4 linked regions of the Pelodiscus sinensis genome follow. The protein of the gene in region 4 purifies or fractionates together with the protein of the main gene of each other region. This does not show direct contact. Links are inferred from orthologs where the notes say so. Each region holds a gene or a part of one and is shown on either strand. Other genes may lie near its edges. The genes, in order: ACTL6A, RPAP2, MRGBP and RUVBL2.

Region 1 (6,832 bases), on a different chromosome or scaffold from region 4:
ACTAAGTAGTTTATGATAATTAAGTTTCATGCCACTCTGGGTAAGTCTGTACAGGAAAAAACATCAGTGGCTGGCCTAGGTCAACTGACCTTGGCTGTAGGGGTCAAAATCACTATGTAGATGTTGGGGCTCAGATTCCCAGGGATTAGGCTCCAGCTCGAACATTCATGCAACAATTTTTCATCTCATAACCTGAGCCCCACAAGCACAAGACAGCTGACCTGGGCCAGCCACAGCTGTGCTATAGATCTTCTATGTTTGTGCACATGTACCCTCTAATGCAGTAGTGGGCAACCTGCGGCCTGTGATCTACACATGGTCAATCAGCATTATTCACTGGCAGCACACGAGACATTTTGTTGATTTGACCCTTTGCAGGCACAGTCCCTCGAAGCTCCCAATGGCCACAGTTTGTCATTCCTGGCCAATGGTACCTGCAAGAAGCAGTGGCCAGCATGTCCCTGCATCCCGCAGCTCCCATTGGCCAGGAACAGCAAACCATGGCCACACGGGGTTGGGGAGCCTGTGCATGCAGATAGTCAACACTGGTGTAGCCCAAGGTCCAGTGTGCTTCAGGAGCAGCCCTTGGAACTAAAAGCTGTAGACTATAAACTATGACATGTTGGAGAACTTCCTGGTTCCTGCCATGATGTACCCTCTGCCTCCCAGCAGGGCCTCAGCACTGACTGAGCTGGCAACACGTAAGCTGCAAGCAGAGAAGAGGCTGCTGTACTGTAATCCTGTTCTTCGTACTTTACAGAATTAAGCCTGTTCCTGGTGGTTTGTCTGAGTGGGTCTGGTCTGAAGAGCACACACACTGACACGTGATGGAGAATGCACAAAGGAGCCTCAGGCCTAGTCTCCCAGAGTTGTGTAAAAAGTCACACAGCTTCCCCTATGTTGAATAACCTCATACTGGGATAGCGGACAGGAGGGGCTACATCAGCAACATGTCTCGCAGCCCCTAGTGGAGTATTCTGATGTGCCAGGTACAGCCCACAGGCCACATATTGCCCACCACAGCTCTAATGTTTTCCTCAGGGCAAAAGGTCAAGAGACGCATATTAAAACATTTAAAAAGTTATATTTCTACATAAATAAACTATGTTTTATTTATACAGTGCAAGAAATATAAAAAAGCACTTTACAGGGAAATATAAAGAGAATGGACTAAGTCCTGCTCTCAGTTACACTGGTGTAATTTTTAAATAACTCTACAAACAAAGTGAAGTTACTCTGAATTTACCCTAGTATAAATGAGATCTGAACAAGGTCCAAGATCCTTGCCTCAAGGCACTTACAATCTAGAATCAGGCAGAAAATATAATCAAATGGCAGTGTACTTTGAAAAGGTGGGGTTAGCAAAAGAAGAGCTAACAGCATCCTTTGAGGCTCAGTTTCCTCTACAAAATGAAGCTTACAGTTTTCTTGGATCTCTTACTTTCATACTATTGTTTCTAAATGTATGAATGAATTAAATATCACTCAATGAAGGATAGCCAAGGAAGTGATTTTAAAGGAGAGATTTAAATATGAGACATATCACCCTCACATACTTTTCCACCAAAATCAGAACTTCCACCAAAATCAATAAGAACAGTGCACACGTATGTGAAAAGAGTATTCAGCCTTATGTATTTTACATATGATCTGTGGTTAGCCAGTATCTGATCTTTGTATTAGGATGCAAAAATTAGCTATGTGCTCTATGTAACTTTGAAAAATGGCATTAATTATTCTACAAAGGCCCTAATCAACCAGTTTAAGATTTCTCAATGGTCAATATTATGCAAATCATGGGATTGGACACTTGGAATTTTAGGCAGATCTACCTATCTAGTTCTCTGGCTCCTGAACTCTCCAAGTCCCTTTTCCTTTTCATCAATTTCCTGTTTTCCCTCCTCCACCCCATTCCACTTCCCTGCTCACTACTTAGTCCTTCCTAACTTTGTTTTCTAGCTCTCTGTGCTGTGTTCTATGGCTTTACTGGCCAAATGCCAGGGCAGATACTAACATCTCCCACCCCTTCTTTCTCTGCCAGAACAATCCAGTGAGGATGGCAGTTTAGTAACAAGCAGGGGAAAGGAGGGAATCAGATGAGCTCAGCCCAATATCCAGATTTTGAGGCAGGAAGTTTGAGATGCCAAGGGACCATCACTGGGTTGGGAGGATATAGGGGGTGGTGGGAAGGTACAAAATTGACAGGGGCTTATACAGATTTTATTCCATTGGAAAAGGAGAACAGGGAGCAACAGAAGAAAGAAGACTCAGGAAGGGAGGTAAACTGGATTGGGAGGGGTACTTGAGAAAGGGATATTGATGGTAGAGTAGCAAGCACTGAACTCTGTAAAATGTCATGCATGTTTTATTAGAGTGACAAGGTGGGTTTTATTAAGCCAGCTGGAGATGATGAAAGACTTTTTTCAAGTCTACACAGAACTAATTTCCAGGCCTAGGAAAGGTACTCAGAAGTTTGATTCAAGTGAGCTGCTTAGGCAAAGTTTGTAACTTGCTAAAGTTAGACTTTAATCACTAGCACATTATTTTGTTTTGTTTGTATCTGTAACATACTAGTCTCTCTTTTCCTAGTTACTATCACTTACATCTCTTCTTAATCTCTCTTTTTCATAGTTACTATCACTTACATCTCTGTGCTGTTACAGGCATATATCTTCAGCTGCATTAACAGGCTGGTATGCATTCTGTCTCTTTGGAGAAAGCAAATTTAGTAATTTCTGTGAATAGAGAATGGACACTACAGAAAAACAGCTTGGGGGAACTTGAGAACTGGTTTTCAAGGTTACCTGCAAGATAAAGGAAAGGTAAGCAGTGTTACTGGTGACACCTGGTGTGGCAAAGACCTAACTCATGTCCTTTGAACTCCAGTGACGTTCTTTTGCTGAGGCAGAGAGGTAACTCAGCAGCTTACTGTTCAGGGTATCCCAAGAGCATCCCAACACTGCAAAAACACTTTCTTTTTTGCATTTTTCCCCTCGGGCCTTTTGTTACCCTGATGAAGATCAGGTTTGGCCAGTTCTCAACCCCTTACTTAAGGCAATCCCAAAATACCTTTTTCTAGGCTCCCTGCACCATCCTGCCCCAAAATACCCCACCTAACTTCCCACCCTAAAATGCCTCTCCCTAACTAGTGATAGAAATGTAGCCGTGTTAGTCTAGTGTAGCTGAAACAAAAAACAGGACTATGTAGCACTTTAAAGACTAACAAGATTGTTTAATTTGTCCTTTTCATATGTGTTCATTTTTTTAATTGTATCCTTTGGTATATATGGTTGTGACAATTTTCTTCCACTATTTGATCTGAGGAAGTGGGTCTGGCCCATGAAAGCTCATCACCTAATAAACCATCTTGTTAGTCTTTAAAGTGCTGCATAGGCCTGTTTTTTGTCTCCCTAACTACAGTCTCAAAGCATCCCTTGCTGGCCCACAAGCCCCAGCCTCCCCCCAAGTCTCTCCCTAACCCCCAACAGCAGCCAACCCCATAGCACCCTAACCAGCCCCCCAAGTTCCTTCCTAACCCCCAGCCAGCCCCATAACACCCTTCCCCGGCCCCCAAACATCCCTCCCTAGACCCAGCCTCCACACCCTCAGCCCCACCTACCCCCATGTCAATCAATTCCTTGCCCCGTCCCCCAACCCCAACCTCCGCTGACCCTGCACACTGCAACCATACTTGCTTCCTTCACTCTTTTTCTTGACAGGGATAGGTTTCCCGCTGTCTCGGCCCGCCCCCTGCTGGCCACGATTGGCCGCCCGCTCTCGGGGTTGCGGGGGCCGGCCGGCGCGCTCTGTTGGTCTGAGGGGAAAGCAGCAGCAAGTTCGGTTGAGCCGGCGGGGCGAGTGAGCGCGGGCCGGAGACTCGCGCTCGCTATTGTCAGCGAAAGTAGTTAGCGGGGGCTGCCGGGAGCGGGGCGCGAGACAGGCCCGGCGGCAGCCATGAGCGGCGGGGTGTACGGGGGAGGTGAGTGCCCGCCCCCCCCGCCTGTGAACCCCCCCCAGCCCCTGCCTGCTGCCCCCCACGACCGTTCCCCACGGGCCTCTCTGCCCCCCCCCCCCCCAGCGCCTGCCTGCTGCCCCCCAGCACCTCCGAGCCCCTGCTGCCCCTCACGGGCCTCCCCCAGCCCCCGCCTCGCCCAGGGCTGTTCCACACGAGGCTTCCCCTAGCTGCCCCCCCTCCTCCTCCGAGCCCCCACAGGCCTGCTGCATCTCCCACCCCCTCCCCCTACAGGCATGTGCTCTAGTCTGTCCATTATTTGTGCGTGTGCTGATGCCGCTTCCCCCTACCCAGGAGCTTCCCATGCAGCCCCGCGTAATCCGGCCACGTTCCCAAGCCTTGAGCTTCCTTGCAATCGATTTGCTGCCGCTCCCTGCGCTTCTTCCCCTCCCCAGTTATTTGCTGCTCTTCTGGTCCATAAAGTGACAGCGTTGCTAAGATACAGCTGTAATGCTCCACCCATGAACACCACCAGCATCGTTCTTCCCATCAAAGCTAACAACTCCACTCAGCTGCGGTCGGAAACACACAGTGCTTCCCTTCAGTATACCTTGCAAGTTTTCATTAAAGTGGAAGGTCTAACTAGTTTGAAGGTCGTCTTAGTTTCTAGAATAGTGATAGAAATGTAGCCGTGTTAGTCTGGTGTAGCTGAAACAAAATACAGGACTTTGTAGCACTTTAAAGACTAACAAGATGGTTTATTAGATGATGATTAGACCACGAAAGCTCATCATCTAATAAACCATCTTGTTAGTCTTTAAAGTGCTACATAGTCCACAAACATCCCGCTCTCCCTACCTCTAATATCATCAATTCACAGACACTTACCTTCCTTCCTCCCCCCCCCCCCCCGCATCCCCCTCCTGTTCTGCAATGTGATTTGTCCTTTTCATATTTGTTCATTTTTTTAATTGTATCCTTTGGTATATATGGTTGTGACTACTTTCTTCCACTATTTGATCTGAGGAAGTGGGTCTGGCCCATGAAAGCTCATCATCTAATAAACCATCTTGTTAGTCTTTAAAGTGCTACATTGTCCTGCATTTTGCTTCAACTACATAGTCCTGTATTTTCTTAGTTTCTGTCTTTGGTAAATTTCATTGTGGCCTTTTCCGTTTGTTAGATCTGTAAGGCAGATTAATGGTGTAAGGCAACATTTGGTGCTGTTACTTTGGTGGGAAATTCAGGTTAGCACGCCATCGAAAGATATATTTGGAAGCCAAGATCTTGCACCAGAGCATCTCCTGTAAACAGTGCTACCAAAATAATAATAATAATTAGTATTATTAATAATTTTGCTAGGGTCCTGACCCCGTTGAGCCCATATGGAGTCTCTTTACAGATCAGTACTTAAGGGAATGGATGTATTTCTTAAACATCTGTGTTATAGACTGTCACATCTAATTCTAATTATTTTCCTGTTTAATTTCTAATAATCCAGGGAAGTGTAGGGGGAAGTATAACTTTGTGAGTAAATCATAACACATTCTGAAAATCACTTTACCAGTTATGGTTAACTGGTGGACTGGTGCAGTCCCCTGCCTGCTTAACAGGGATTTTGCATCCCTAATTTTGAATGAAAGTACTGTTTTATTGGTTATTTACTTAAAATACAATGGCTTTTTTGGGGTAATTTTTCTGCAATTAATATTTTCAATTGAAAATATTTTGTTCTTTGCCAGCTTTAAATCCTGGTTAAAAGTTGCGATGGTGGTTTGCACTCACGTTTAACAAAAAGTGTGTTGGCTTGTATGTTTTTGCTGATAAGCACAGAGATTTTATTGCCTGCCTATTTACTTCTAATCCTTACAGATGAAGTTGGGGCTCTTGTTTTCGATATTGGTTCCTATACAGTGAGAGCTGGCTATGCTGGTGAGGATTGTCCAAAGGTAAGAGTCATTGTGATTAAATGGTTTTTTTACGTATTCTACGAACCACTGAACAAGTTTTGAATTTGTAGACATTTTTTTTAAATGTATAGCTGAAATGAAAACAGTACTTTGTTATAAGTGAATAAACAAATGCCCACTCTGCAGTTGCCATACCTGGTCCATATTTTACATTGCAGGTTGACTTTCCCACTGCTATTGGTGTGGTACTGGAAAGGGATGATGGCAGCACCTTGATGGAAATAGATGGTGACAAAGGAAAACAAGGAGGTCCTACTTACTATATAGACACCAATGCACTGCGAGTTCCAAGGGAAAACATGGAGGCTATTTCACCCTTAAAAAATGGAATGAGTATGGTGCTCTGTCTTTTTCTTCTTGTTCTTAAAATCTGATCACTAACTTTATATTCAGCTGCAAAGTTTTATCTGTCACGGGCAAAAAAATATATTCAATTTTCATTAATACTCTTGGTCCAAAAATGAAATGTTGTATTTAAAATGGTTTTAATTATGAGGTCTGATCTGAGGAAGAACTATAGAGACTTTCCTCCATGTAATGAGCTGGAATGGGTCCCACCTGATAACGGTGGTGGGGGAAAAAGAAGGGGACGAATGTAATTGGTAAGCAGCATAGAACTTTATGGAGCTGCTGAAGTGTGTGAATTTTTAAGACTGTTGTTCAGGAGATGGTTGATCTATGTGTTTTAAAGTTATGTTTTTAGATGACTCAATTAACTATGTCTCTTTTTGAAAATGGAATAATATTGTCTAAACGTCATTGTTACAGTTGAGGACTGGGACAGTTTCCAGGCAATTTTGGATCACACATACAAGATGCACATTAAATCTGAAGCAAGTTTGCACCCGGTCCTAATGTCAGAAGCACCAGTGAGTAAAAGCATATTTCCTTCTTTGAAATTTTATAATGA
Region 2 (7,265 bases), on a different chromosome or scaffold from region 4:
CATAAGTGCTGGGGGTCGCAACTCAGGCCATGGTAAGGCAGGGCTTCCTGTAAAAATTCTGAACAAAAAATTTTAAATTCTGAAAAATTAATATTTTAATTTATTTTGTAATATATTACCAAAATAATTAAACATGGTGTAATTATGTTGTTATTGTATTTCTGCATTATTTTGATAAATAAAATATGCAGAACTTAGAAGAATTTTTTGAAAATATATTCTGGGTGGTGCAATCGGGGTGCAGACAACTTGATGCAGGGCTCTGGGTGAAGAGAGAATGGGACACTGCAAGGAAGTCCAGGTGAAGGTAGTTAGGGATCAGTGAGAGTCTGGGGGTACAGGGTTTGATAAGGTTGAGAGGGTCAGGGTGTAGCTGGTTGGAGCTCAATGAGGTCCAAGTGTGAGGGGCTGCTCATGCAGGGGATGGAAATCAGCAGGGTGGAAGTTGGGGGGTCTTGGTAGAGAGGTTCTGGGTGCAAGGCAGGGGTTCAATTAGGGGTTCCAGGCGCATGGATGGGAAGACTGATCACTGAACAGGAAGCTGCTCCCCCGTCTATCCAACCCCATGCATCCAGATCTCTCCCCCAAACACACACACTCAAAACCCGCACTGAGCCTTACCACCCCACACCTAGAATTCCCACTCAGACAGGCCCCTTCCCACCAGCAGTGCAGAGCTACCTGCAGCTTAGAGTAGTTTCTGGGGTTGATTTGACACAGACCCAACTGGTCTGGGCAGGGGAAACTCTGTCTTCATCCTCTTTCTTCCCTCCCAGCCCACCCAGCTGAGACAAACATCCCTGGGAAGCCAGGGCATCCCCAGGCACCCCTTTCCCCAGAGATTTACCTCTCCCCAGCTGCTCAAACAGATATGTCTGTGCACACAAATTTAGGCAATGCCAGTTTCTCTAACAGTTAGTATATTTTTACAGAAAGGAAGTTACTTACACATCGTTGTATAACGGCTTGAAGCTCCTCAGTTGCCATTGTATCCTGATTTTGTTCTTCTGACATTGAAAAGCTCTATCATAATTTAGAGTATAGTAATGAGTCACAACTATATTATATTCAATATTATACTGGATTTAAAATGGAGATTAAAAAATTATCACATTTTAGCAAGTCCCAAGTGGTAAAACATCTTACAGAAATTAAGGAGGCTGCATAAAAGAACATGAGACAAAACAGAAGAGAAAAGAGTTAAAAAATGCAGGGTATTTTTTCATTCCATCTCCTGTGCAGGCACTGCTATTGCTTGTTTATAGGAGACAGGAAAGAGCATGAAAACTATATCTAAAGAGGGGAACTGTCCAACTACAGTAAACTTCTGATAATCTGGGAAGCCCGGGGCAGAGCAGCTGGGGTGCTCTTCCCCGGAGTCAGCCGCTGGTCAGTTTCAGCAGCGGCTGACTTGGAGAAGTCTGGGGCAGAGCAGCTGGGGTGCTGCCGGGATGGTCCGGCAGCACCAAGGAGCAGCGCTACGGGACCAACCCAGCACCCCAGCTGCTCTGCCCCGAGCGTCCCCAAGTACTGAAACATCCAAATCTGAATTGAGATAACTAAAAGAATGTGAAAACTAATTTTCTTTTTATTATACTGAAATCCTACTTACATTTTATTTCACTGTTTTCCACACTTGACAGTGAATCCACACTTGACAGTTTCACTTTGCTGTTCTCATTGCATTAGCACAGGGATGGGCAATAATTTTTGCCAAGGGGTCACAATGGCAATGGCACAATGGTTGGGTATTGGTAACCAGAGCTCATAGCTCCAGCCCCTGAAGAAGAGCCACAACTGGGCACTATTTAAATAGGATCCTGCTGTCCGAGCCACCACCTGAAAATTCGGTGGCATGGACAGCAAGATATAAATAGAAAACTGTCAGACACTGTCTGTGGGCCAGATCAAAGTTTTAGCAGGGCAGAGTCTGCCCCAGGTGGCATCTTGCCCATCCCTGCACTAAGATGTACTTTTGAGTTTGAGTTAGCACCACTGCAAGAGCAATGGCGACATTCCCCCAGAATCAGTGTTCCCTCTAAGCTGCGAGGCAGCACAGTTTCACAGGTGAATAGTCAGCCCTGCCCAGTGAATCAGCTCCACATGGAGCCCTGAGCTTTTGACTGGGCGGGGCTGATTAATCACCAGTTAAGATATGAGGCTGCACAGTTTAGAAGAAACACTGCCCAGAACTACTTTAATTTGTTTGAAAACAAATGTACAGTGTTACCTATTTGGGGCCCAAAGTAACTTGGTATCATCAATAAGGCTCAAATCATATACTGAGCTCCGTAGTGTACTGGTTCTGAGCTCATTGCACGTATGTGGCCCACATGATTAAGTCAGTGATATATTTCCCTGACTTCAGTGGGAACTGTACCGGTCCTTAAGTCATTATGAAAGAAAATTATATATTAGCTATAATTGGCAAACACCATTCATTAAGAATGTTTTTTTCCACCCATTTTGATTTCTTCTTATAGGATCTGAACACCAATGAAGAATGCATCAAAGGGAGAATGTATTCTAAATGCATGGAAGCACCTAGCATCCTCCATACACTTTTGTCAAACACTTGCCATTAGCCATACTTGGGTGAAAACAGGCTGTAGGGGTGGGTAGAGCCCTGGGTGGATATAAAATCTGTATCTGCATCTCTATCAGCACAAATAAACCTGTGACTATAAAGCAGACATCCACAGATTTACAAGGCTCTATGTATGCCCTGAGGCTACGTCTACACTACGTTTTTTGTGCAAAAACCAGCAGTGTCCACACCTCAAGCACGTTTTTACACAAGAAAATCTACAGTCAATTGACAGAACAGATGACTTTTTGCGGTGCAGATATACCTCCTAAGAGGAATATCTCCTTTTTGCGCAAAAAGGCATGTGTGGATATTCCGCAGGGGTTTCTTGCACAAAAAGAGCCAATCCGAAAAAGCACAGGTGTTCTGATGGCCATTCTGTGAATGGCCATCAGTGCTTTCTTGCGCAAGAGTGTCCATGCCGTGTAGATGCTCTCTTGCCCAAAAGCTCATTGCAAAAGCAGTGCATTTTGAGGTGTGGACGCGCTCTTGCGCAAGTTTTTGCACGGGAACTCTTCCTCAAAAAACTTCTTGTGCAAAAACCCTGGGCTGTGTCTACACTGCACCCCTTTTCCAGAAAAGGGATGCAGATGAGACAAGTCGGAATTGCAAATGAAGCGGGGGATTTAAATATCCCTCGCTTCGTTTGTATAAACATGGCTGCCGCTTTTTTCCGGCTCTGGGCTTTGCCGGAGAAAAGCACCAGTCTAGATGGGATCTTTCGGAACATAAAGCCTTTTCCGAAAGGTCCCTTATTCCTCTTAAAATCAGGAATAAGGGACCTTTCAGAAAAGGCTTTATTTTCCAAAAGATCCAGTCTAGACTGGCGCTTTTCTCCAGCAAAGCCCGGAGCCGGAAAAAAGCTGCAGCCATGTTTATACAAACTAAGCGGGGCATATTTAAATCCCCCACTTCATTTGCAATTCCGACTTGTCTCATCTGCATCCCTTTTCCGGAAAAGGGGTGCAGTGTAGACACAGCCCTGCAGTATAGACCTAGTCTTTCAAGGGTGTATAAGGGCTGAGGATAGCAAGTGATAGAGAGAACAGAGAGGGCAGGGCTTCAAGGGGGGAGGGTGTCTTGGGGAAGGGATGGGGTAGATCTTGGCTTGTCCTGGCATTTAAAAAGTGATCTTGGGCGTAAAAAGGTTGGAAACCACTGATGTCTGGGATCCTCCCAGTCGAGGGTTAGCACAGTCGATGGGATTAGTACTGATGCGCTGAGTCACGTCGGAGGCTGCTCTACACCCCGGGGCCTACAGAACACACCTCCTGTCTCTCAAAGCAAACCAATAAGCAGGTCGCGGAGAGGCTGTAGCGGCTTCGCACGGAAGGAGGGGAGAAGAAGAGGGAGACCGGGCGCGTGGCTCACAGCAAAGCCCGCAGCCTGAGGCTGTAAATACGGCTGCTGCGAGCTCCACGCCTCCAACAAGGGGGGCTGGTCTCAGCCGGCGCCCGGGACCTTGTCTGAGGAGCCCCGCGTGGGGCGCAGCGGGCCAGCCTCGTTACCCCGCCCCCAAGAGAACGCGCCGGGGGAGGACTATCCCCGTCGCAGCCGCCCCACAAGGGGGCTCAGAGCCTCCCTCCTTGGACGCGGGGGCGAGGACTGCGCGGCGCCCGCCTCCTACCTAGCGTGCGTCCGCACAGGGCCGCTCCGGATCGAGCCCCGCGTGCCCCTCTCAGGCTCCGCCTCCCCCCCCCTCGCGCCGCGGCGGGTGAGAGGTCAGGCGGGGGGCGGGGCGGGCGGCGATGGCGGCGGAACTTCGGCGCGTCGGTGCGAAGGCGAGAGGCAGCCGGAGACGCGCGGGTAGGATCAGTACAATCCCCCTCCCCCCCCCCCCGAACATACCCCCCGTTTCCCGGCCTAGTGGGCTCGTCCTCCCCACCCCAACGCAGGGGACTGACCCAATCGTCCCAGCCGGGGAGGGGGACGGGAGTAGTGCTGGGCAGGTAGCCGTGTTGTGCGCCCCTCCGCCCCCCGTTTGGAGCATTGCTGGGGTACCCGGAGGGGGAAGCAGAGCCGGCACCATGCGTAAGCGGAATGAGCAGCGGGCCCATTCCTAGGCCGGGGTATTCCAGCTTAGGGCAGGGCGCTGGTGTGCAAGACGGGGTTCAGCTGCAAGCTTGGGAGGGGGCTCTGGGCTGGGACAGTGTTGGGGTGCTGGCTCTGAGAGGGGTCAGGGTGTTGTAGGTGCTGGCTCTGGGAGCGGGCTCAGAGCTGGGGCGGATTCAGGGTACAGGAGGCGTATGGGTTCTGGCTCTGGGAGAGGGGGCAGGGCTGGAGCCAGGTGCTTGGGGTACAGGAGATGGTTGGAGGGTGCAGGAGGAGAGATGGGGTGCTGGCCCTGGGAGGGAGCTCAGGGCTGAGGCTTGGAGTGCAGGAGGTGTTTGGGATCTGAGGCACTTGGAAGAGAGGAAAGTGATTAGGAATAGTCATCAAGGGTTCACAAAGGGCAAGTCGTACCTGACCAATCTGATCAGCTTCTATGATGAGGTAACTGGCTCGGTGGACATGGGAAAGTCAGTGGATGTGATATTCCTTGACTTTAGCAAGGCTTTTGATACGGTCGCCCACAATATTCTTGCCAGCAAGTTAAGAGAATGTGGATTGGACAAATGGACAGTAAGATGCATAGAAAGATGGCTAGAAGGCCGGGCCCAGCGGGTAGTGATCAACGGCTAGATGTCAGGATGGCAGTCGGTTTCTAGCGGAGTGGCCCAAAGTTCAGTTCTAGGACCGATTTTGTTCAATATCTTTATTAATGACCTGGATGAAGGGATGGATTGCACCCTCAGCAAGTTTGTGGATGACACTAAGCTAGGGGGAGAGGTAGATACGCTTGAGGGCAGAGATAGGGTCCAGAGTTACTTAGACAAATTGAAGGATTGGGCCACAAGAAATCTGATGAGGTTCAACAAGGACAAGTGCAGAGTCCTGCACTTGGGACGGAAGAATCCCAAGCATAGTTACAAGCTGGGGACCAGCCCGTTAAGTAGTAGTTCTGCAGAAAAGGACCTGGGGGTTACAGTGGATGAGAAGCTAGATATGAGTCAACAGTGTGCCCTTGTAGCCAAGAAGGCTATTGGCATATTAGATTGCATTAAGAGGAACATTGCCAGCAGATCCAGAGATGTCATTATTCCCCTTTATTCGGCTTTGGTGAGGCCACATCTGGAGTATTGTGTCCAGTTCTGGGGCCACCACACTACAAAAAGGATGTGGACGCACTGGAGAGGGTCCAGCGGAGGGCAACCAAAATGATTAGGGGGCTGGAGCATATGACTTAAGAGGAGAGGCTGAGGGAGTTGGATCTGTTTAGTCTGCAGAAGCGAAGAGTGAGGGGGGATTTGATAGCAGCCTTCAACTTCCTGAAGGGAGGTTCCAAAGAGGATGGAGAGAGGCTGTTCTCAGTAGTGACAGATGGCAGAACAAGGAGCAATGGTCTCAAGTTGTGGTGGGAGAAGTCCAGGTTGGATATTAGGAAAAACTATTTCACTAGGAGGGTAGTGAAGCCCTGGAATGGGTTACCTAGGGAAGTAGTGGAGTCTCCATCCCTAGAGGTGTTTAAGTCTCGGCTTGACAAAGCCCTGGCTGGGTTGATTTAGTTGGAATTGGTCCTTCCTAGAGCAGGGGGCTGGACTTGATGACCTTCTGAGGTCTCTTCCAGCTCTATGGTTCTGTGATTCAGGAGATATGGGATGCTGTCTCTGGAAGGAGGGTCAGGTTGGGGCAGAGGATTTGGGATGTGCAGGAAGAGTTTGGGGGTTGGCATGTGGCCTGCCACCAGGCAGCACTTGTCATTGTCCCAAGCAGCAGCACAGTGAGGCTAAGGCAGGCTCCCTGCTTGTCCTGGGTCCACAGCACTCCTGGGAGGGGTCAAAGTGCCCCTGTCGCCCAGAGGTGGGGGCCAATGTTCACACTAATTTTTTCTGTGTGTGAAATAAATGTTATGATGTACCCTGAGGAATGTGAGTTTGTGAACCACCAGTAGAAACATGCTACCATCTGTGGGCACTCTGCTAATCAGTGGAGCAGCATTTGAATCTCCTGGGCAACTGCCCAAGCACTCAGATTACAGGGAACACTTTTGGGGGTGGGTAGCACGTGGCTCTGTGTGCTGTCCCTCTGCTAATGCAATAGTTCCCTTTTTCTGGCCAGTTGAAGCAGTGCATGCAGGCGGCAGGAGTAGCATGCTGAGACTCTTGCCTCCCTATCCCTCCTCACACACAGGACCATGCTTGCCAGTTTTGGGAACAGGCTGGTGACGGGGTAAACAGGAAGCTTGCTGATCGTAATTAATTGGGAGACTCCCCAGGATTCACCAGTTGATTGCAATCGATCGGTTGGTGACCACCACTACACAGATTTCCAGGGAGAGCCCAGCCTTTCTCAATCTGAGGGTTGTGATCCAAAAATGGATGGATGGGTGGGGGGCAAAGTAATTGACTGGGGGATTTTGGTATTGCCACCCTTTACTTCACTGCTGCCTTCAGAGTTGAGTGGCTGGAGAGCTGTGGCTGCTGGTCGGACACCCATCCCCGAAGGCAGTGCCCCACCAGCAGTAGCACAGAATAGGGTACCCCTACTCCTGTGCTGCACCCTTCTGATCTGGGCAGCCAGAAAATGGTGGCTGCTGACCAAGGGCCTAGCTCTGAATGCAACAGTGCAAACCATGCCA
Region 3 (7,363 bases), on a different chromosome or scaffold from region 4:
CAGACTGAAATGAGAACGTGGGTTCAGGGGTTCAAATCCAAAACCCAGTATTCAAAAGAGTTTAGATTTGAGATTCTGGTTTTGACCCATCTCTAAACATTTTATTTAACCATTTAACCTCTTTTAGGTATGTATAGAACATCAGTCGCCACTGTAAGAAGGGTTAGTTGGGTTGGATAAGTCTTGACAAGAAGACAGCGAACATGTAAAGAAACTGAACCTTTCTAATATGGAATACTTTCAATGAGAAACTCGTAAGTTTTTTCCTTCCTAGTTTTTGTTACTAGGGTAATTTACTAGGGCCTCTGTGCTTGTGAATTTCTGTTCCTGCTGTTTACTATTCATGTGAAATAGTAATCCTGTGTTTGTGACCAAAGTTATTTGCTGTGAACATTATTTTAATGCCACAGAGAGGATTAAGATTTTAAGAGAGAAATAAGCAGCAGGAATACATGATCACTAAGCAACAGAGAGACTGTTTCATGCATGTATGCTTAATAATAAAAAGGAAAAAAGGCAACACAGAAGGGATAATATATTATCACATTTTTTTCTGAATGGAATGTTTTGGGTAACAACTGTCTCAGGAGGCAACAGTGACCTCCCTTTTCAAAGTTCTCAGGAGCTTAGCAGTTCCTTCATTTTAAGCAGAGTGGTCTAGTTAGGACAGTATTGGCTTGAGGCTCTAGAGAACTGGACTCTATTCCCACCTTTGCCACTGACCTGCATTGCGATCTTGAACAAGTCACTTCCCTTTTCTGTTTCACCTTCCATCCTTCATCTGTCTTGCCTAGCTAGAATGTATGCTCTTTAGTGATGGGACTGTCTCTTACTAAGTATGTGCATAGCACCTAGCACCAATACCTTCAACTGGGACCTCTCTGTTCTATAGCAATACAAATAACATAAATATCTTGCCCCTTTCCAAAACATCTGATAGATATAATAGGGATGAACTCTTCAGGGTTCTTTAGAAATGTAGGCTTCTATAGAAACTACAGGCAGTCCCCGAGTTACGCGGATCCGACTTATGTCGGATCCGCAGTTATGAACAGGGTTTGCTCCTGGTCTGCTGGAGACCAGCAGACCAGGGAGACGGGGAGCAAAGCCTCGGAGGACGCCGGCAGCGGGACAACCGCGGCGCGTCTGGGCTGTCCGCTGCCCGTGTGCGCCGTGGCTTTGCTCCCCGTCTCCCTGGTCTGCTGGAGACCAGCAGACCAGGGAGATGGGGAGCAAAGCCTCTGAGGACGCCGGCAGCGGGACAGCCGCGGCGCGTCTGGGCTGTCCCGCTGCCCCTGTGCTCCGCGGCTTTGCTCCGGACGCCTATGGTACAGCAGCTGGGGCGCTGCTGGTTGGTCCCGTAGCTCCGCTCTGGGCACTACTGGACCAACCCGGCAGCACCCCAGCTGCTCTGCCCCAGGTGTCCCCAAGTCAGCCGCTGCTGAAACTGACCAGCGCTGACTACAGGAAGTCCAAGGCAGAGTTGCTCTGCTCCGGGCTTCCTGGAATCAGCCACTGATCAGTTTCAGCAGCAGCTGACTTGGGGACGCCTGGGGTTCTTAAGTTGAATCTGTATGTAAGAACTGGCGTCCAGATTCATTCTGTTGAAACTGATCAGCGGCTGATTCCAGGAAGCCCGGGGCAGAGCAACTCTGCCTCGGGCTTCCAGTAGTCAGCCACTGGTCAGTTTCAGCAGTGGCTGAATCTGGATGCCAGTTCCGACTTACATACAGATTCAACTTAAGAACAAACCTACAGTCCCTATCTTGTACATAACCCGGGGACTGCCTGTACTTGAAAAAATTGCAGAATTTAATAGGTTCTCATTCTCTATCGATAGATGTCCTTGTACCAACCTATTGAAGACAGAGAATTTTGTACAATAAAATCTTTAGGATGGTTCAGAAAAGCTATAGGAAACTTATTTTGTATTAAATCCATTAGCACGCTACGTGGGCTTAGAGGTAAACTATTAATTATCCCCAGCTTACAGATTTGCAAAGAGACAGACTGAGGCCTGCTCTGCACTTAAAATTAGATGGACCTTGCTACATTGCTCATGGCATGGCTGTGAATTTTTTTTTCCTGTGCACCTAGTATTCAGTATTTTCTCTTTTCCTCAGATGGATGGCTGGTGGCATCTGGGAGGGCGGGGGAAGGGAAGAGCACAGTAATTTAAAGGCGCAGAGGCCTTTTTTTTTTTCCGCAAAAAGATGGCTGGTGGCATCTGCTAGGGGAGAGGAACACGGTAATTTAAAAGCGCAGTGACCTTTTTTTTTTTTTTTTTGCTCAACCAATTCTTCCCTGCCTGTTCAGGATTTTTTGTGTAGGTATCTGGCAATCCTAGCAGCCACCAGGGGATGCCAAGGCTGAGGGGTGGCCACTGGGAACTAGTTGACTAGTCCCTCAACTTGTTGCTTCCTTCCCCCCCCCCACATCCCATCAGAGGCAGCAAAGGAGGGGGAGCGGGAGCTGGTGCTGGGATGAGTCAGCTTAAAAGCCAATTCCCCACAGCATCGTCTCTGCAGGGGGCAAGGGAGGCAGCGGGTTTGCCGGGACTGGGCACGAGCCAGGAATGAGCTTATTCCTGGCTTGCACCCAGTCCCAGATGCTGCGCCTCTGCTTTTTAAATGTATTAAGAGCCTGCCAGTTCTTTATACATTTAAAAATCAGAAGTGAAGCGGGAAGACCTGGAGCGAGCTGAGACAGCTGATTCCCTGCTCACACTTGGTCTCCCCACTGTGCTCCAGCCTTTTTACATTTAAGGTTGGTGCACAGTGGGGAGGGACCTAACACGAGCTGGGAATCAGCTGACTTGGGTCACACTGGGTCCCCCAGCTCTGCTTCAGCCTTTTAAATGTATAAAGAAGAGCCAATAGGCTCTTAATACATTTAAATGGCAGAGCCACAGTGCAGTTAGTTCCCGAAGCCAGGAGCTATCCCCACTGCAGCTCCCCAGCTTATTGACTAATCGACTAGTTGATTACATGAAATTTAACATCCCTATTGGGAACCCACAATAGGGATCAGGGTAGCTGCCAGAGTGTACCGGGGCTAAGGGGCAGATGTACAGGTGCTGGGCACCTACTGCAGGGATCAGGGTGGCTGCCAGGGGGCGTCAGGGCTGAGGGGTAGGGAGCAGCCACTGGACCCCACTACAGCAGTGGTTCTCAACTCGTTTCAGTCCACGGACCACCAGGCCAATCAAAAAATTTTCCTCCTTTTTGAGACATGATAAAAAAGAGCAGACAACGAACAGTTTGGTTTGAAATTTATTTCTTACTAACAGATTTTTGGTGCCTGCCCACACCTTGTGATTTTCGACAATGTTCCTGTGGCCCACCGAAAAAGGCACCATGGACCACCAGTTGAGAACCACAGCACTACAGGGACAAGGCCAGGGTGGATGTGCAGGCACTAGGCACCTACTGCAGGAATTTTGGGGTGGCCGCCACGAGGTGCTAAGGCGAAGAGGAAGCCGCTTGAGCCCCCACTACAGGACTCGCGGCGGCCGCCAGGGGGTGCCAATGGTGAGGGGCAGCCACTGAGCCCCCGCTGCAGGGCTCGGGGCGGCCGCCAGGACTGAGGGGGCAGGGAGCAGCCGCTTGAGCCCCCACTGCTTGGTTCGGGGCGGCCGCCAGGGGGCGCCAATGGTGGGGGGGGCAGCCCCTGAGCCCCCGCTGCAGTGTTCGGGGCGGCCGCCAGGGGGCGCCAATGGTGGGGGGCAGCCCCTGAGCCCCTGGCTGCAGGGCTCGGGGCAGCCGCCAGGGGGCGCCAATGGTGGGGGGGCAGCCCCTGAGCCCCCGCTGCAGGGCTCGGGGCGACCGCCAGGGGGCGCCAATGGTGGGGGGGCAGCCCCTGAGCCCCTGGCTGCAGGGCTCGGGGCGGCCGCCAGGGGGCGCCAATGATTCGGGGCAGCTCCTGAGCCCCCGCTGCAGGGCTCGGGGCGGCCGCCAAGGGGCGCCAATGGTGGGGGGGCAGCCCCTGAGCCCCTGGCTGCAGGGCTCGGGGCGGCCGCCAGGGGGCGCCAATGATTCGGGGCAGCTCCTGAGCCCCCGCTGCAGGGCTCGGGGCGGCCGCCAGGGGGCGCCAATCGTGGGGGGGCAGCCCCTGAGCCCCCGCTGCAGGGCTCGGGGCGACCGCCAAGGGGCGCCAATGGTGGGGGGGCAGCCCCTGAGCCCCTGGCTGCAGGGCTCGGGGCGGCCGCCAGGGGGCGCCAATGATTCGGGGCAGCTCCTGAGCCCCCGCTGCAGGGCTCGGGGCGGCCGCCAGGGGGCGCCAATGGTGGGGGGGGCAGCCCCTGAGCCCCCGCTGCAGGGCTCGGGGCGGCCGCCAGGGGGCGCGGCGGCGCTGCACAGAGCGGCGGCGCGGGGCGATGGGCGAGGCGGAGGGCGGCTCGGCCGGCGGCGGCGGCGGCGGCGCGGTGGCGGAGAAGCCCCCCGTGCCCGCGGCGGCCCCGGAGCCCGGCGCGCCGGCCGAGGAGGCGGTGGTGTGGAGCCCCGAGGTGGAGGTCTGCCTCTTCCACGCCATGCTGGGCCACAAGCCCGTCGGTGAGAGCAGGCCGCGGCCGAGCCCCGGCCTCGAGTAGCGGCGCCTGCCGGGAGGAGACCCGGGAGTGGGCGGGCCGCCCCGAGTGGCTCCCGCGGGCAGCGTCGGGGTGGGGGAGGTGCCGCTCATACCCCCCCCCCCCCCGAATCCGAGCCCCTCCCCCCCTCCCCGCAGCCAGGACTCCAGCCCCCGGGGGCCCTGCCGCTCCAGGAGCTGGGGCCAGTGGCTGCGGGGCCGGGCGGCTTTTCCTGCCTGTGGTCGCTGCCCCCACCGCCCCCCAGGGCCGGATTCCCGGGGGGGGGGGGGGGGCAGGTTCCATTATGTTTTCTTATTGGCCGGACCTGCCCCCGCGGGTAGGGATTTTTAGTTGCAAAAATAGGGGTCGGGCAGGAATTTTGAATATTGGGGAAATGTAGCGAGGCAGGGGCCCACTGCTGGGCTTTTCTTTCCCTTGCTCTGCCTGGCTAGGAGGGAGTGCGAGGAAGTGTGGGGGGAAAGGGTGTGGGGTCTTCTCCCCTTCTGCTGTTGGCAGGACATCTCTTGGGGCATGTTAGGTGCAAGTGAAACAATCCACAAGCAGGCTTGTTGACTTTTTGTTGCTCCCTCTCCCCTTTCAGAATTACTTGGTTGCAGCTTTCAGGATTCATTGCCTCTGGCTTAGCTGTGTCTGTGCCCTAAAAATGGGAGAAGACCCTGTGGTCCCAGCCAAGATTTTAATTATTAGATCTGCACAGAATCTGGTGCAGTCACTTAACTCAGGGTACGTCTAGACTACAGAGTTTTGTCGACAGATACTGTCGACAAAGCTTCTGTCGACAAAGAGCGTCTACACGACATTCAGTTCTGTCGACAAAGCAAACTGCTTGGTCGACATGGCAGTGTAGACGCAAGGACAGTTTACATTCAATAACGCCTTCTGTCGACAGAACTCTGTCGACAGAAGGCGTTATGCCTCGTAAAATGAGGTTTACCAGCGTGGACAAAACTGCTGAGTTCTGTCGACGTTATGTCGACAGAACTCAGCGGTAGTGTAGACGCAGGTATAGTTTTGTCGACAAAAGTCCACTTTTGTCGACAAAACTCTGTAGTCTAGACACACCCTTACTCAGTGAGGTGATGCACATGCCTCTCAGGAAATGTCGCTGATGGCTCTAACTTCCTTCCTTCAGGTGTGAATCGCCACTTTCACATGATTTGTATCCGAGACAAATTCAGTCAGAATATTGGACGACAGATTTCCTCCAGAGTGATTTGGGACCATTTGAGTACCATGTATGACATGCAAGCACTAGTGAGTATAGAAAACTGGCATTAAGGAATTCTGATTTCCAGTAGATGTCAACAGCTTTGATGTCATATGTGTTGGGCCTAATTCTTACATTGGTGTAAATTAGGTGACTTTTGTGAGGTCAGTGGACTTTCACCTGTGTAAAACTAGTATAGGAGAGAGGAAAATCAAGTCCCGTATTTCTTCCCTCTTATGCACTTGCTTTGATGTAAAATTTCTCTGTAGGCCCTGATCCAGTAAATACTTTGAATGCTTAACTTTATATGTGCAAATAGTCCTACTGACACACACAAAGTTCAAGCATTTTCAAGAAGTGGACAGTCACCCTCATATTCTGTATCTTGTCCTCTGGTAACCCTTATGGGACTTCTGATGACAGACTGAGATATCCTATTACGAATTATTTGGCCTTTTCCTGTACAGGTTGAACCTCTGTTAATCGGGACTCTCTGGACCATGGATGTTCCAGGACCAGAGAGTCCCGGTGGAAGGCTGGTGGCTGGGATCCCCACAGCTGGGCTGCTTGGTACAACCCAGCGGGACTGCCTGGTGTGTCCAGGAGCCCGGCGCGCTGCAGTGTGGCTGCAAGAAGCTTCCAGGAGCCTGGCACACTTCAGTGGGACTCCCCGGCACATCCAGGAATCTGGTGTGCTGCAGTGGGGCTTCCCGGGCATGTCCTGGAGTCTGGTGTGCAGGGAGCTGGGCTGCCTGGCTTAGCAGGGAATAGGGAGGGGGAGGGCTAGCAGTGCAACAAGGCTGGTGGGAAAGGAGGGCAGCTGGTCCAGGGCTGGGGGAGGAGGGGCCTGATAACGGGGGACAAATATGACATCCCCTAGTCTGGCAAAATCCCTCATCCGGGACCAGTCAGGTCCCAAGGGTGCCGGAACGGAGGTCCAACCTGTATATGAAATTACTTGGCATTTGTTTAGGAAATCTGAGCTGATAGTTATAATAAAATCACACTAAAGACATTTTACTTTTTTTCTTAAGCATGAATCTGAGATTCTGCCCTTCCCTAATTCAGAGAAAAATTTCATCCTGCCTGAGGAAATTATCCAAGAAGTGAAAGAAGGTGAGATCTGATGCTAGCTTTTATGTTGCAATGCTCTGATCAAGTTCTAGGCATGATTAGGCAACTTGAACTCCAGAAGAAGGGAAGAAGTAATGATGTACTAGGCTGACGCTGGTGTGTCACATCATTGGATTGTGTAATAATCAGGGAGAGGTAAAATAGTAAAAAGTTTAATGTAGATGGGATTTTTGATAACACATTCTATCAAAATCTCCCTTTGGCAGAGTATGCGCGTCTTCCACTTACTGAGGTGGGGAGGGTGGGGAAGGGTGCTATGTGCAGCAGGGAGGTCAAAATCCGGTCCTTGGGAATTATATGCAAGTAGTTAAAGGTTTATTCTTTTGGGGGTTAGGTGATTTGAATGTTTTAGTAAGACTGTGTTACTGATTAAGTTTCATAAGGCAATTGTTACAAGAGTTTTATTTACACTGAATAGCTGCAGTTCTATTGCAGGT
Region 4 (7,997 bases):
CAACTCCCCATCCGGACACTGCACAAACTTGGTCTGGGGGAAGGGACAACTCAGATCCCGTCCCCCTCAGTCTCCCACTGCCCCCCCCCCTGCATTTCCCAATGGGTGGGGGGCTCAGAGCCCAGCACGTACCTGGGCGCCCATAGCGTCATAGTCGCGCGCCCGGGTGAAGGAGCGCCCCAGCTTGCTGATCTTGCCGGTGGCTTTGTCAATGGTGATGACGTCCCTGCAGGGAGAGGTGTGGTCAGCTTTGGGGGGGAGGGGTGGTCACAGCCCAGGCCGGTGAGAACACTGGGCCATTGTATGGACGCCTCCAGTGGAGCCACAACTCCCACAGGGCCCCCTCCCTACCCGTCAGCCCCCCACTCACCCCGCCTGCACTTTCTCCTTGGTCAGCGACTCGATCATCTTGCTGCCCAGGTCGTAGATCGTTTCCATCTCCGTGGTCTTCAGCGTCAGCTTCCCCACCTTGGCGCCCTGCGTACGGGGGTAGGGTGTGTGGTCAGACCCCCCTCCCCCACTGTCCCTGGCAGAGAGCAAGTGGGGGGATGGGCACTGGCCCACCGGCCATGGGCAGGCTTGCTGGGGGCTGGAGTAGAGAATGGGAGGTTCCCATTCTGGGGGGAGGGGGGGGGGGAAGAGGCCAGTTCCTGCAGAGGGGAGGCAGGGAATGGGGGCTAAGTTCACCCTAAGCTGTGTGGCCACGGGGCAGCCTTCTAACCCCCCGGTGCAGGGGCTCAGGGCCTTAGAGCTGCCACGGTGGGCAGACACACGCCCCGCACCTGGCCCGGAGCTGCGGCAGTGAGAAAGGCCTGGCAGAGCCTGTACCCAAAACCCCTCAGCCCCAGCCCCACCACGGATCCCACACCCCCAGCCAGAGCCTGCTCCCACCCGCCGAACCCTTTGGCCCCAGCCCGGCCAGACTGTCCACGCCCAGAATGAACGTGACGTGCGCCATGATGGAGGGGATGGGCCAGTCGCCACCTGCTCGCACACGTAACATTCACTCTGCACGTGGACATCACAAGTGAGGGACCGGTGAGAGGGAGGGGCGTGTTCGGGGGGGGGGCAGGGAATGGGAGGGGACCTGTTCTGAGGGGCACAAGATGGGGGCAGGAGCATGGCAGTGCCAGCCAAGCCAGTTGTCTTGTCCCCAGCCAGCCAGCCCCACCACCCTGCCCCCGCCCTACTCACGGTGCCGGTGGCTGGGCGGTCGATCTGGATCTCCACCACCTCCCCCTCAATGATCTCGGTCTCCTCCCTGTGGCGAAGGAGAGGGCCAAGCTCAGTCCTCCCCCCACATCTTGCCAGTGGCTCCCTGGGACACAGGAACAGCTTCCCCAATCGCCCCCCATGGGCAGGCAGCTCTGTGCCCACTATGGCACCCGCCTGGCTCCCAGCCCTGCTGCTCTACCCACCCCCCTCCCAGAGCCAGCACGAGAACCCCACAGCCCAGGCTCCCAAGCCCCTGCTGTTACCCCCCAGCCCCCCCCACCAGTGCTGAGCCAGAACCCTGGGGTCCAGGCCCGCCCCTCACTTGATGCGCACGCCGATGGAGCGCCGAAAGGCCTGGGTCAGCGCCTCAGTCTTGCTCATCTCCAGGGAGAAGATCTCGCTGCCCGCGATGGCCGTGAAGGGCGTGTCCAGCCCCAGTGCCTGCGCCATGCCTGGGGGGCAGGGGGGACCTAGTTACACGGGGGGAGAGGCAAGCCGAGGATCCCTGCTCCTGAGCCACCACTCAGGGCAGGGCAACTCCCTCGAAGGGTCCAGCCATCTACAGCAGAGTGCCAGGGTGGGAGGGATTCCCAGGCAGGGAGAGGGGGCGGATTCCCTGGGTGCGGGGCAGACACCCCGTGAGAGCATTCCTCGGATGGGGCAGGGACTCTAAGGAAGGGGTGGGTGCGTGTGATGGGGATTCCTGGATGGGGGGGGAGCCGGCAAGGAGGGACTCCAGTGCCCTGAGCGCGGTACCCATGGCGATGGCCGTCTTGCCGGTGCCCGGTTGGCCAGCGATGAGGACGGCCCGGCCGGCGATCTTCCCTTCCTTGATCATCTCCAGGATGACGCCTGCGGCGCGCCGGGCAGCCAGCTGGCCCACCATGCCCTGCGAGACCTGGGGAGAGACAGGGTGGGTGCTGGCAAGGGGGGGTCCGGCCAGCCCCCCCCCCGCCCCCCCGCCCCACACCCACAGACCCGCCCTTCTACCCCAGTCACGTGCAGCCTCCCCCCATAGGGGACCCCCCCTTCCTGCCAGACCTGCCCAGCTCCACCCCCCCAAGGCGCCCGCCCCCCACTCAGCCCCCCCCCCCCGGTACCTGTCTGGGCTCCAGCGCATCGTCCAGGCCCAGCCCGCGGATGTGGGAGTGGGCGCCTGGGGACAGAGGGGAGGCACCGTCAGCTGCTGCCCCGCCCCGCGCGCCCCTCGCCCCGCCCCCCCGCTGCTGCCCCGCCCCGCGCGCCCCTCGCCCCGCCCCCCCGCTGCTGCCCCGCCCCGCGCGCCCCTCGCCCCGCCCCCCGCTGCTGCCCCGCCCCCCGCGCCCCGCCCCCCGCTGCTGCCCCACCCCTCGCCCCGCCCCCCGCTGCTGCCCCGCCCCCCGCGCCCCTCGCCCCGCCCCCCGCTGCTGCCCCGCCCCGCGCGCCCCTCGCCCCGCCCCCCGCTGCTGCCCCGCCCCTCGCCCCGCCCCCCGCTGCTGCCCCGCTCCTCGCCCCGCACGAGGGGCGCCCCGTTGCCATGGAGACCGAGCCGGGCCCGGGGGGGACTCACCGATGCGCTCGATGCGCGTCACGTCGCGAACCTCGGGCACCTTCGTGCTCTGCGGAGAGACAGAGACCGGTCAGGGAGGGCGGGGGGGGGGAGCGCGCGGGGGGGGCCCGGGGGGGCCCGGGGGGGCGGGGCGGCCGCGCTCACCGCCGTTGCCATGTTGCTCGGAGACCGCAGCGAGCCGCCGGCGCGGACCGGAAACCGGAAGTGGCCCGTCGCCGCCACGCGCTGAGCGGAGGGAGCCGCTCCCGCCGCCGCTCGATGGCCCGCGGTCCTCCAGCCCCGCCCCCTCCCTGGCCCCGCCCCCCGACTCTGGCCCCGCCCCTCTCCCTGCCCTGCCTGGCGGCCCCTTCCTCACTCCGCCCCGCCCCGCCCCGCCCGCCACTTCCTCCCGCCCCGCGCCCCTCCCTAGGAATTGGTGACACTTCCCCTTTAAGACCTTGAAGCACGTACCGTCCCCTCCCCCACGTGTCCCTCCCCCGCCGGGCACCGGCCACGTTAGCCAATCAGAGCCCTCGGGCGCCTGCGGGCTCCACTCAGAATCAGGCGGCGCGCATGGGGCGGGGCGGCGCGCAGGCCACGCCCCTGGTGGGCGGGGCTCCGGTGCAGCAGAGCCCGGCGGGGGAGGGGCGGGGTCAGTCTGAGAGCAGCGCTGCGAAGTGGCTGGAGGCGCTGGGGGGAGGTGAGTTGGGGGGGGGGACTCCGCGAGCCCCGCATGTTCCCCCCGCCCCCTCTCCACCCAGGCCCCCCCTCTGCATCCAGCCCCCCCTGCATCCAGCCCCCCATCTCCCTCCAGCCCCCCTGCATCCAGCCCCCATCTCATCCAGCCCCCCTGCATCCAGCCCCCATCTCCCCCAGACCCCCTCTCCTGCATCCAGCCCCCATCTCATCCAGCCCCCCATCTCCCTCCAACCCCCCCTGCATCCAGCCCCCCATCTCCCCCAGACCCCCTCTCCTGCATCCAGCCCCCATCTCATCCAGCCCCCCCTGCATCCAGCCCCCCATCTCCCTCCAGCCCCCCCTGCATCCAGCCCCCCATCTCCCTCCAGACCCCATCTTCCTCCAACCCCCCCTGCATCCAGCCCCCATCTCATCCAGCCCCCCTGCATCCAGCCCCCCATCTCCCTCCAGCCCCCCTGCATCCAGCCCCCATCTCATCCAGCCCCCCTGCATCCAGCCCCCCATCTCCCTCCAGCCCCCCTGCATCCAGCCCCCCATCTCCCTCCAGCCCCCCTGCATCCAGCCCCCATCTCATCCAGCCCCCCATCTCCCTCCAACCCCCCCTGCATCCAGCCCCCATCTCATCCAGCCCCCCTGCATCCAGCCCCCCATCTCCCTCCAGACCCCATCTCCCTCCAACCCCCCCTGCATCCAGCCCCCATCTCATCCAGCCCCCCTGCATCCAGCCCCCCATCTCCCTCCAGCCCCCCTGCATCCAGCCCCCCATCTCCCTCCAGCCCCCCGGCATCCAGCCCCCATCTCATCCAGCCCCCCATCTCCCTCCAACCCCCCCTGCATCCAGCCCCCATCTCATCCAGCCCCCCCTGCATCCAGCCCCCCATCTCCCCCCCAGCCCCTCATCTCCCTCAACCCTCCTCCCCTGCATCCAGCCCCCATCTCCCCCCCAGCCCCTCATCTCCCTCGACCCTCCTCCCCTGCATCCAGCCCCCCATCTCCCTCCAGCCCCCCTCCCCTGCATCTAATTCCCCTAGGCCCTCCCCTGCATCCAATCCCTCATCTCCCTCCAGACTCCCCCTCCCCCTCCCCTGCATCCGGCCCCCATATCCCCCCAGCCCTCCCTCCCCTGCATCCAGCCCCCCATGTCCCCCCACCCCCCTTACCTGCATCCAGCCCCTCATGTACTCTCGAGTCCCCTCACTTGAATCCAGCCCCCCATGCACTCCCCAGTCCCCTTACCTGCACCGTGCCCCCATGTCCCTGCCAGCCCCTCCCCCCACCCCATGTCCTGCCCCATATCTTCCCCAGGCCCGGATGTTCCTCCCAGCCCCCTACATTGCATGTCTCCCAGTCCCTTCTTCTGCATCCAACTCCCCATGTCCCTCCCAGCCCCATTCTCCCTCCAATCCTCCATGGGCCGTCCAGCCCCCTTCCCCTTTTACCTCCCCTATTCCAGCCCCCTTATGGGCTCCTTACTGCCGTCTCCCAGCCCCCAACCAGCCACGGCTCTGCCCCCTCTTTCCTGTGGGTCTGGTAGGTGGGGGTGTCCCAGGCCTGGACTCCCCTCCTGTGAGCCTGTGCTGCAGAGTAGCAAGGCTGTGACCCCCTGTCTGTCCCCCCAGCCCAGCACCCGGACCTGGCTCCTGCAGCGCTGCCCCCCAGCCTCAGCCGCAATGCCCCTGGCTCGCAGCCTCTCCGTCACCTCCCTGACGGGGCTGGAGGACTGGGAGGATGAGATTGACCTGGAGAACGCCATCCTCTTCGAGGTGGCCTGGGAGGTGGCCAACAAGGGTGAGCTAGATGCCTGAATTCTCTCCGGGGTCAACATCAGCCCTGGCTCTGGCGGGCGGGGCTGGGAGCCAGGACTCCTGGGTTCTGCCCTGGCTCTGGGAAGGGAGTAAGGGCTAGTGGTTAGAGGCGGGCGGGGCTGGGAGCCAGGACTCCTGGGTTCTGCCCTGGCTCTGGGAAGGGAGTAAGGGCTAGTGGTTAGAGGCGGGAGGGGCTGGGAGCCAGGACTCCTGGGTTCTGCCCTGGCTCTGGGAAGGGAGTAAGGGCAAGTGGTTAGAGGCGGGAGGGGCTGGGAGCCAGGACTCCTGGGTTCTGCCCTGGCTCTGGGAAGGGAGTAAGGGCTAGTGGTTAGAGGCGGGCGGGGCTGGGAGCCAGGACTCCTGGGTTCTGCCCTAGCTCCAGTAGGGGGGGTGGGGCCCAGCGGCAGTCAGGCTGGGAGCCTGGGAGGTCGGGTTGTGAGCTGCTGGGGGCAGAGCGTAGTGACCTATGGGGTACGTGCCCTCTGGGGTGGAGGCAGGAGCATTAAGCCTGGGGGGACGAGCAGGGGGCAGGGCAACGGGGGTCTGACTCAGTGCCCCTGCTGTGGGCACGGGGCAGAGATGGGCCCGTCCCAGCTCGGCCCCCCTGCCGGCACCGGGGCCTTAGGGCCATCACTGCTAGTTGGGGGATGCCGGGCTGAAGGGATGGGGTAGGGATCAGTGGGAGGTGCTATGTCCTGACAGACTGCCCCCTTCCTAGCCCCCCTCCTTCAGTGGGGCACGAGGGGTGCTGGTCTGGGGGGGCGGACCAGGGGATCAACAGAAGGCAGTATATTGCTGGCCCCCGTGCAGCGCCAGGGGGCGGTATCTGTGGGGTGTCCTGTCCTAAACTCTTTTGGGCCTGCTCTACGGGGCCTCCCGGGCGAGGGGTCCCCGTATCCTCAGCCCCCACCCTACACAGAGGCCCAAGTCCTGACGTTGGGGGGCTGAGTGGAGCCGGTCTGAGCTGGGGGGGCATTGTGCAGTGGGGGGTAGGGGCAGGCTAGGAGCGAGGGGGAGCCGGGCTAGGGGTACAGACCGGGAAGGTTTGACAGTGGCGGGGGGGAGAGGGGTTGCCGGTTTTGGGACCTGGGGAGGCTGAAAGCCCTGCTGGGGTGTGGGGCAAGGGAGTCAGGGAGGGGCCCTGCAGCTGGGGGCCCCACGATGCACTGGGGCTGTGGTCTGCCTAGGCCGGTGCCTCGAGGGGGCGGGGTCTGTATCGAGGGGGTCCCCGCCCCCTGGGCAGTGGGGTGGAGGTCCGGCGAGGGGGGGGGCCAGGCAAAGAGGCGAGGGTCCATGGGGGTGCCAGAGGCTGTGTCTAACCCCTCCCCCCCGCAGTGGGGGGTATCTACACGGTGCTGCAGACCAAGGCCAAGATCACGGCGGACGAGTGGGGGGAGAATTACTTCCTGATGGGGCCCTACCTGGAGCAGAACGTGCGCACCCAGGTGGAGCTCATCGAGCCCCCCCACCCCGCCGTGCGGCGCACCATCGACTCCATGAACGCCAAGGGCTGCAAGGTGCGAGCTGCAGAGGGGGAGGGGGCACGGAGGGGGTCCCAGGATGCCAGCCCCTGCGAGGGGAGGGACGGGGCCCACGAGTGCGGGGCGCCAGCCCGTCCGTGCAAGGGGAGGCCTTGCACGCTTAGCGCACCAACCGGGGGAGGGGCCTCCTTGCCCTGAGGGGGAGGGGCCTAAAGTGACCCTGTTGCTCCTCCTGATCCAAGGGGAGCCCCCACCCACCTCTGCATCCGGGTCCCCCTCTTCTTGATCTGAATGATTCTTCCACCTGCCCTCCTGAGCCGGGGAGTGAACCCCGGTGCCCTGGCTCCCAGCCTCTTGCTCTAACCACTAGGCCCCGCTCCCGGAGCCCTGATCCCGCTGTGCACCCAGAAATCCTGTCCCCTATTAGAACAGTCCCCGGTGTTTTGGGGGCAGCTCGTTTCTCCCCCCCTCCCTCCCCAGCAGGCACCATGGGGATGCCAAGCCCCCTCCCCTTGGCCCGGTGCCCCGAGGGGGCTATCTTTAGCAGCCAGGCTCACGTTGCTCCCCAGCAAAGGTCACCCCCCCCCACGTGTTGTTTTTCTCTGGTGCTCAAAATATCTGCCCTGAAGTTCCCTCTAACCTGGCGGGGGGGGGGGGGGGGGCGCTGGGGCTGGGGCTGGGGCTGGGGCTGGAGCGGATGGGGGGAGGGCTACGTGAGGGGGCAGGAATGGGCTAACAGCATCCAGGCCCCAACGCTGTTCTTGGGGGGACTTCCCCAAGGGGACAGATGGGGTCCCAGCTGGGAGTGTGCGGGGCAGGGGCTTGGTGCATGTCCGGGGGCCCCTGGGGAAGCGGGTTTGGGGTCTTGTGGTCGGGGTCCCGGAGGGGGCTGGGAGCTCCGTCTCACCCCGGCCCCCCCAGGTGTACTTCGGGCGCTGGCTCATCGAGGGGGGCCCCTACGTGGTGCTGCTGGACGTGGGGGCCACAGCGTGGAGCCTGGACCGCTGGAAGACGGAGCTGTGGGACAGCTGCACCATCGGGGTGCCCTGGTACGACCGGGAGGCCAACGACGCCGTGCTCTTCGGCTTCCTCACCGCCTGGTTCCTGGGCGAGGTGCGTGGGGGGGGGGGGGGTTACCCTGAGTCCCCGACTGACCCAGTGCCCCTGAGCCCGGCCCAGCCCTGCCCTCGATGCTTGATGACCAGTCACAGAACCCAGGCGTCCTGGCTCCCAGCCCCCCGCTGTAGCCACTAGTCATCACTGCTCCCC

What was found.
Region 1: the proteins of RUVBL2 (region 4) and ACTL6A purify together in Homo sapiens (affinity purification with mass spectrometry; 11 studies listed by BioGRID and IntAct, with this or other methods). This does not show direct contact. The link is inferred for Pelodiscus sinensis from reciprocal best matches to the Homo sapiens genes RUVBL2 and ACTL6A.
Region 2: the proteins of RUVBL2 (region 4) and RPAP2 purify together in Homo sapiens (affinity purification with mass spectrometry; 3 studies listed by BioGRID and IntAct, with this or other methods). This does not show direct contact. The link is inferred for Pelodiscus sinensis from reciprocal best matches to the Homo sapiens genes RUVBL2 and RPAP2.
Region 3: the proteins of RUVBL2 (region 4) and MRGBP purify together in Homo sapiens (co-immunoprecipitation; 5 studies listed by BioGRID and IntAct, counting the BioPlex papers as one, with this or other methods). This does not show direct contact. The link is inferred for Pelodiscus sinensis from reciprocal best matches to the Homo sapiens genes RUVBL2 and MRGBP.

The regions. Positions count from the first base shown.
Region 1 is NC_134720.1:44,787,377-44,794,208, forward strand, and holds the start of ACTL6A (actin-like protein 6A), read left to right. Parts: upstream 1-3,820; 5' UTR 3,821-3,954; coding exon 3,955-3,979; intron 3,980-4,302; exon of another isoform or gene 4,303-4,398; intron 4,399-5,824; coding exon 5,825-5,901; intron 5,902-6,080; coding exon 6,081-6,255; intron 6,256-6,690; coding exon 6,691-6,791; intron 6,792-6,832.
Region 2 is NC_134719.1:34,345,747-34,353,011, forward strand, and holds the start of RPAP2 (putative RNA polymerase II subunit B1 CTD phosphatase RPAP2), read left to right. Parts: upstream 1-4,251; 5' UTR 4,252-4,335; coding exon 4,336-4,393; intron 4,394-4,420; exon of another isoform or gene 4,421-4,614; coding exon of another isoform or gene 4,615-4,618; intron 4,619-7,265. Other genes in the region: GLMN (glomulin), read right to left, coding at 949-1,014.
Region 3 is NC_134728.1:7,675,590-7,682,952, reverse strand, and holds the start of MRGBP (MRG/MORF4L-binding protein), read left to right. Parts: upstream 1-4,360; 5' UTR 4,361-4,375; coding exon 4,376-4,550; intron 4,551-5,717; coding exon 5,718-5,839; intron 5,840-6,826; coding exon 6,827-6,908; intron 6,909-7,363.
Region 4 is NW_027465870.1:27,116-35,112, reverse strand, and holds the start of RUVBL2 (ruvB-like 2), read right to left. Parts: upstream 3,018-7,997; 5' UTR 2,921-3,017; coding exon 2,909-2,920; intron 2,814-2,908; coding exon 2,765-2,813; intron 2,372-2,764; coding exon 2,316-2,371; intron 2,114-2,315; coding exon 1,972-2,113; intron 1,668-1,971; coding exon 1,538-1,667; intron 1,262-1,537; coding exon 1,195-1,261; intron 478-1,194; coding exon 371-477; intron 227-370; coding exon 133-226; intron 34-132; coding exon 1-33. UniProt on the Homo sapiens protein: Possesses single-stranded DNA-stimulated ATPase and ATP-dependent DNA helicase (5' to 3') activity; hexamerization is thought to be critical for ATP hydrolysis and adjacent subunits in the ring-like structure contribute to the ATPase activity.